2 linked regions of the Danio rerio genome follow. The protein of the gene in region 2 interacts with the protein of the main gene of each other region in a biochemical or structural test. Links are inferred from orthologs where the notes say so. Each region holds a gene or a part of one and is shown on either strand. Other genes may lie near its edges. The genes, in order: topbp1 and atrip.

The links.
Region 1: the proteins of atrip (region 2) and topbp1 form a complex in vitro, tested with the Homo sapiens proteins (2 studies listed by BioGRID). The link is inferred for Danio rerio from reciprocal best matches to the Homo sapiens genes ATRIP and TOPBP1.

What each region holds. Positions count from the first base shown.
Region 1 is NC_133199.1:10,053,848-10,057,680, reverse strand, and holds part of topbp1 (DNA topoisomerase 2-binding protein 1), read right to left. Parts: intron 1,529-3,833; coding exon 1,347-1,528; intron 1-1,346. UniProt on the Homo sapiens protein: Scaffold protein that acts as a key protein-protein adapter in DNA replication and DNA repair. Composed of multiple BRCT domains, which specifically recognize and bind phosphorylated proteins, bringing proteins together into functional combinations.
Region 2 is NC_133197.1:10,190,856-10,195,249, reverse strand, and holds the start of atrip (ATR-interacting protein), read right to left. Parts: upstream 3,028-4,394; 5' UTR 2,831-3,027; intron 1,185-2,830; exon of another isoform or gene 1,182-1,184; 5' UTR 1,170-1,181; coding exon 869-1,169; intron 464-868; coding exon of another isoform or gene 398-463; intron 1-397. UniProt on the Homo sapiens protein: Required for checkpoint signaling after DNA damage. Required for ATR expression, possibly by stabilizing the protein.

The sequences.
Region 1 (3,833 bases), on a different chromosome or scaffold from region 2:
ACAAGCAGAGCACGCACATCTAACGGCTTCTTAATGCGAGCGCTTTAATGGTCAAATACATGCACATTTGTGACATTGAGTGCAGTGTTTAGTGATTATTAATATTAACCCTTATTTGTGTGATAAACAAACAAGTTGAGAGTCAAAAGACATGTGAAAGAGAAACCGTATTAGAGCCGCACTATTCTTAAAGTGACAGCGTGCAATATTCCTGATGCCGACTGTTTTATCATTAATTAAACAACAAAAGGACAAAATCCCTCACTGCTTTTGACTTAAGACTTTTGTAGCTAAAGTTTTTTTTCTTACAGTGAAGATGTTTAAAGCACAGTTTAAAGAACAGATTTAAAAACTCATTTCTAATAACTGATTTTTCTAGATAGCCTAATTTTCAAGATACTAGTATTCAGCTTAAAGAGTAATTAGCCAAGTCATTGTATATCAGTAGTTTATTCTGCAGACAGTAATATATATATATATATATATATATATATATATATATATATATATATATATATATATATATATATATATATATAGCTTAAAGGGGCTAATAATGTTGAGCTATTAGAATAGGTTTCAAAATATTTAAACCTGCTTTAATTCTAGCTGAAATAAAACAAATAAGCCTTTTTCCAGAAGAAAAAATATTATAGGAAATACTGTGAAAAATTCCTGTTAAACATCATTTGGGAAATATTTCTATATAAAAAAATTCACAGAAGGGCGTATAATTTTGACTTCAACTGATAACGGTTGAATTGATCCGTAAAATTGTGATTACAATTATGACCAAAATAATCGTGATTATGATTTTCCCATAATCGAGCAGCCCTAGAGGAGAGATATATTAAATAAAAATAAGAACTGTCCAACTTGCTCTAATTGTATGTCTAGGTGAAGTGAAAAATCTCATATCATCTTGTATTCTAATAACGATAAAGTACCTTTTCCAATAATTAAATTAATTAACAGCTTATATATTGACCACAAGGAAAAGACAATTTCTTTTTTTTTGTTTTAAATTTTTAAGAATACCATTTAAAAATGTGCTCATTCATGAGTGACACTTCTGGACTAATGTTTTATTAAGAATGTAGAAATAGAAAAGAAATGTTAAGAAAATAAATAGTTTTTTTTCCCAAAACTAATGGTTACAGGCCCAGCATAAAATATTGCTCAATAAGATTCTAAATACAAACATGTACTTTCAAGTTTACCACCTATTCGCTATTCTGTTATTTATGATTATGCCAGCAGATTGGTCAGCCAAATGCTGAAAAAGTTTTGCTATAAACAATGCATTTTGCAACACTACAAAATAAGACTATGATGTAAAGAGTTACCTGTCCTGAGACTTTTCCCAGCATGCTTTCACCCAGCTGGGTAACAGGATGGGCTTCCCAAGGCTTGCTGCCACCAGATATTTTTTACTCCCAACTTCACCTGCCACCAGGTGAGTAACAGACACGTTGAGATCCCGGTAGACTCGTCCACCCATCAGCTGAATAAGATCCATCACTTCACTCTGCAAGAACAAAATAAAAGCTGATTATTTGTCATAACTGCACATGCAGATGTAACAGCATTCCAGTTCTACTGTATATGTTACAGGGCTTCTGACAATTTAAAGTTAGCCTGAGTTATTCTAAACCTAGTTTAAACAGAATCCTAGGTAAAATCCCAGGTTAAAAGTACTTTAAAAGTACTTAAATGATTCTTAGATTTTACACAGTGCAATCCTAAACCCTGTGTTAGTCATTATTTACATATTTGTGGTATTAGTGTAAAACTTTAGCAAAAAGTGGCAAACAACCTGGGGTGCATTTCCTAAACAACGACGTAACTTGCAGCTGAACTATCAAGGTACGATGCATCGTTTGGGAAAAGAACGATGTAGTGACGATTGTTTGCCGAGGTATAACGTAAACCGGCCATAATGACTCTCTAAACTGTGTTGAGTAACAACTTCTTTAGAGAAGAGCCCCATCATTTCTTTGTGCAAATTACACTGTTTAAATAAACATGCATTAAAAATAAAATCCATTAATAGATTTGTAAAGACATGCACTCGCTTTTCATATTAATTGAAATATATGGCACATATAGGGCCTATGTTTGCCTTACAAATATTATTGAGAATATATCATATTCTAAACCATAAAATCACTTACAAAAGCTAACACCTATTCTAATATCATAAATAAATCATATAAATAAATAAATAATGAGGCGATTTATCAAGAAATTAAATTTAATAATTATTATGAATTAGAAATAAAATAAAATTATACTTTAAAAATAAAAGTAATAATTTTGATGATGATTATTATTATTATCATTATTATTATTAAGTAGGATATTGTTTATTTATTTTTTTAAGTCTACTTTTACAATTTTACACTTGTAAACCACTGCAGAAAGTTCTAACCAGCAGGCCCATGTCATTTACAGTACATATACCTAATAAATAACCTACTATAAATTAAAAGAATTAACGTATGCTTTTTGAGTTCAAAATGACATCAATGTTTTCAAAGTCCACTGCGAAGGGAGCACAATTGTCAACATGAAGATCGCTAAAACTGAACTGTAAAAATTGTTTGAAAGCAAATTTCACCTAAAAGAGATGACTTTAATGCTATTTTTCATTTGTTTTTGCGAATGTTCGTTGGAGCGACAGATTTGAGAAACGGCAAATCAGCAAACTATGTTTGTAACGACGGACCTTGCGACCTTAGTTGGCTAACGATGGTTTTGGGAAACACACCCCTGCATGGTTTCCGCTACATTCATTCTTCTATGGCAGGGCGCAACACCAAAATTCATCCCACCACGGCTACATTAACATTACAGCTACGTTCAAAACAATCAGTCGTGGTTGTTGTTTTTTTTTAATAGCGGGTTATAATCCCACCAAAACGTATTATAAGGTAAGTGAATTATAACAGCACAAATTTTTCTCTAATCTTAGTTCTGCTGTGGGTTATTTGTTTAACCCTTTAAAATGACATGCTGACTGACTGACAGGGCTGCGCGATGTGTGAGGCCAGCAAACACGGCGTAGCTTTCAGTTAAGATGAACACAGTTTCCGTAATTATACCTTATAGATAAAGGTCTATGGTTCTGCATACAATGACTTTATCTTGCTGGAGTTTATAGCCGTTTCACTTTACTTCAAGACCCATTAATGCTGCTCTGTAAGTTTATTGGAGACATTCATAAATATTCCTGCAAATCTAATAAATGTTGGAGATGTATTCCTTACATAAACGCACTAAATCGCACTTCAGCATCGTTTATTTGAGGAAGCGTGCAAGTTTTTTTGCACAAACAGAGAAAATCGGTGCGCAAGTAAAGAGATTTGCATGCTCCTATTGCATAAATATGATCTCGACTTGTAATACTGCGCCCACGACATTTGTTATTGAAATAACGCCATAGGCAGTTGGTAGATCTGTGTAAAAGGTCTGCCGCCACAGCTGGACAAAAATCCTAGAGAAAACACTGATTTATTTAGATAAAGGTTCTAGGTTTGGGAATTGCTGCATCTGGTTTTATATACTGCTGAATGGCTGTCAAATGTGATACTAAACAGACTTTACAGACTATAAAGAAGAATGAAAAAGAACATCTTTTTATTTAGATTCATTCTTTGCGTTATTATTTAACATTTTTCAGTTTATATTTATATACAAGCATAATGTTTCTATTACCATCCAAAAGACATTTAGCTGTATGAGTTTAACCCCACAGTTTAACACCGTATATGTTGAGAAATTCATATTTAACACAGTAACATTTTATAACACCAGGCAATATCACTATTTAA
Region 2 (4,394 bases):
ATGATGATTATCTGGGCTAGAGTTGTTTTTCTTACATTTCTTGGGTCAAAATAGACTGAAAAGTAGCCTTTTTGATTTCTCCCCATTCCTGATGGCCTGTAGATGCTCATACTAGTAGATTCTGCTCTCTCATTGGCATAATTTTGAATTGCCGACAGCTCCATGACAAATATCTCATGGGTGTCAATGACTCATCTGCGATTCTCTCAGACTGTGTCTCTGATAGTTCACACTGTGATTGTTACTCACGTGAACGAACATCGATTTGCCTGTGATTTCAGGCATTTGTCTGCGATTTCTCAAAACCTGCCAGCGAGTCAAAATCGAGGCTAAAATCTTGCAGTCTGAACTCGGCATGAGTTGTTTAAGTGTAAAACAAGATGAAAGACTGTGTAACCTCTAGCGCTGTCAGGGTCAGCAGGTGAGTGCAGAAACTCCATTGAAACTTCTGGGGTTGAATAAACTGTTATATTTTAAAGACATGGCGAGAGGAAATGTAATTTAATGCTGAGCTTCTTGTCCAGTCTGACCCAGACCTTAAACATGGCAATTTTATAACGGAAAGACAATTCACTGGAAGTGCTGAGGCTGGCTGGCTGGCTGAAATGTAAATTCTGTGTGTGTATATATATATATATATATATATATATATATATATATATATATATATATATATATATATATATATATATATATATATATATATATAATAGCCCACTAACAAGACACAAAACAACAAACAAATATGTTAAATTGCTTCTTTAAACTGTCTCTAATTTTGTTTTTTAAATTAACAACAACAACTGCAAAAACCCAATGGGACATATAAAAACTTGTGTACAGTGCAACAGAAACATCCAGTACTGACCAGAAGGCTCTTTCCTTTGAGCGTGTGTGTTGTTGTAAGTGCTGCTGCTGCAGGCATCTCCAAGGGCGAATGTTTTCCGCCCGGACCTCACTGGAGCTTTGCTCGGTTCATCAGCGCAAGCGAGCACAGCGTCGAAAGATCTCTTAGAGCCGCTGTTCTGGACGTCTGCGCTGATGGCCTGAGACGCAATAATATCAATCTGCTCCAGATCATCCTGGGTGAAATCAATGTCATCGTCAAACGGGTCGGGTCCAGTCTTCACCTGAGGGCCCTTCAGTCTCTTGCTCGGGGGAAAGTCCATGTCAACGAGCTCCTGCTGGGAAATCAATAAAACCTTGTTAATGTTCAGCAAATAATTAGTGTAGTAAAGAAAATGTTTATGCCCCTTTTCACAAGATGATAGGTCTCTGACACCCCTAGAGCAGGAATGCCTAAACTCTGGTCCAGTGTCCTGCAGAGTTTAGTTCTATCCCCAATTAGACACACTTAAACCAGCTAATCAAGCTCTTTATACGTATACTGGAAACTTCCAAGCAGGTGTGTTGAAGGAAGTGTGAGCTAAACTATGCAGGTCACCGGCCCTCCAGGACCGGGTTTGGGCACCCCTGACCTAGAGCGTGTTAAATTTCAGCTCAAAATACCCCACTAATAATTCTTTTAAACTGCCCTTTTTAGACTTCGATCCAAATTGTGATATTTTGTTGACTGTTGCTTTAAATTCAAGTGAGATAGCCTTCTTTTCAATTGTGGGCAGAGCTGCAAATGCCTATGGTCATCTACGGTTTTCATTTGTGCATCCTAAAACACCACGTCTATATTACATCTATTGGCAGGTGACTGCTTATGACTCAGGACTGTCTTTGCAAATGAGGGACAGATCGTCACTAATGGAATGTCATTAAATTTGGAAAAATTTGGATAAATATGTCTTAAAGTGATTAAAACTTTAGTAAATTCACCTGTTTTATAATAAATAGTACTGCATAAGCTGTACAATGTTTGTTTATACATGACCACCACTATAAATGTACAGTTGAAGTCAGAATTATTAAACCCCCTGAATTATTAGCCCCTCTGTTTATTTTTGTTTAATGGAAGATTTTTCTTTAACACATTTCTTAACATAATAGTTTTAATAACTGATTTCTAACAGCTGATTCATTTTATCTTTGCCATGATGACAGCACATAATATTTTACTAGATATTTTTCAAGACACTTCTATACAGCTTAAAGTGACATTTAAAGGCTTAACTAGGTTAATCAGGCAGGTTAGGGTAATTAGGCAAGTTATTGTATAATGATGGTTTGTTCTGTAAACTATCGAAAAAATATATACCTTAAGGGGGCTAATAATTTTGATCTTAAATGTTTTTAAAAAATTAAAAACTGCTTTTATTCTAGCCTCATAACATCCAGGGTAACATGTCTATATGTATTACAATATAAATAAATGTTTAAACACACATTTCTATATTTATTAAAAACCTATCCATCTAATTATTTCAATTAAATAGACAAGCTTTTTGATTTAAACTGTAAATGTAACAATTAAAACAGTTCCAGGACAACGAATTCATTAATAATCTGCAAAAAATTATAGCAGAAAATAAATAATTTAGAAAAAAACATTAGACACATTATCTAACACTAGTTTTCGCAGTATAAATGTATTTTGCAACTACAAATATGTAGTTTACATTTTGGGTTTGGATGTCCGTGACATATAAAAGACTGCAAAACCCTGACATACAGTACGGTTCGTGCCAGTTCATTAATATCAAGCAGTTAGCATGTGACAATTTTAATACGATAACACTCACTTACTGGTCAAAAATCCAGTTATTTTTCAGCCTATAAAGTGTACATTACTACCGGACTAACAAACTAACACACAATGCTCTTCCAGACTCCAATTTTAACATGGTAAAGGTGTAGTAAAGTGCTCAAGTTTATCAGTCACCTGCTTGATTTACGCTCCTCAGATTCCTGCATAACCTGCAACTGCCCGTCAAATCACCGACATGACAAACCAAAAGTAAACACTCCAGATAAAGTGCAATTCTGAAATGTTTACATAAAAGTAGTTGACCAAACAAACAAATAACCGAAAAGAGGAAAAGTTGGAGGCATTTCTGAAGGTTCGGTATTCATTCAAGCGAGGAGGAGTGTCCATGCGGCCAGACGAAAGCGTACGCGGTAGTAAAACATCACCTGATTGGCTAAACCACTGCCATAGTGTGTAGCGGTGAGCTCTGATTCGTCAAAGGAGTAGCGCACGTATTACGGAGACACTCTTGCGACAAAATGCGTTTTGAACCATTCATTTTGATTCAGAAAACTTGCACAAAGCCGTGATTTGGAAGTTGTCTAAACATGTTCAACAAGATGTGTTTATAAAAGTTTGGGCTTGTTAAACGTTTTCTTCACCATTTAGCTTATACATACTCGTACCTGTAGTAAACATATCGCAAGGCTTCAAGATTGTATTATTTTAGTTTAAATGGAAAAATATGAGTTCACAACAAAACACTGACGCAGAGTAGTATGAGTAAGATTAAAAATATATTTACAAGGTGCACACACAAAATAAATAGTGTTTAGTGATATTTTTGATACATTTTAAGCAAAATCATCACTAAAAATCAGCAGGTACATTTTTATGTGATTACACCATATACGACAAAACTTTTGCAGTTATTATGAGCTAAGTTAGCATGCAGGTTATAACCAATTGTAATAATTGCGCTAAATAGCTGCGAAAGGCTTTATTTTTAACAAAAGATGTAAAAATGATATAGTTAGACTTCATAACATTGTTAGGCTACAGAAATAAACTAATAAAAGGTGAAATCTGTTTGCTGCTTTAAAGATTTGTCTACAGCTATTGTGTCAGATTTAGCATCTTCGCTATGAACAACATACTTTTTTATCTCACACAATGTGTGCATGTAACTACGGAGTGTTTTTGTTGCTGCTGTTTTAAGTTGGAACTATTATTATTTCAACTATTACGATTTATTGACGAGAACAAATGATTGTGTACATTTTTATGTGATCACAACAAGCAGATCTTTTTTATACGACAAAACCTTTGCAGTTAACAAATATGAGCTAAGTTAGCATGTTACAAACTGTAATAAGTGTGCTAAATATAGCTGCCTTACCTTAATTTATATAGACATAAAAAATATTTATAGGCTACAGTGTGCTAAGGTAAACAATACTATCTGCAGCTTTGTTCAGTAGTGTGTCTACAGATATTTAGCATCTTTGCTAATGTATCTATGAAAACATACTTTTTTATCTCGCACAATTCGTGCATGTTGTACGAGCATGTTGCATGTCGAGTGTTTTTGTTGTTGTTTTATTTAGGTTTTTTAAAGTAATTATTACAACATGCCCACAGTTTAGTAGAGATCACTTGAAACAAATGAGTAAAACGTGCAGATATATTAGTAAATTGTGGGAATGAATGAGTCCACTTGTGGCCATAATATGCATATATTTTGTCTGCATTTCATGTT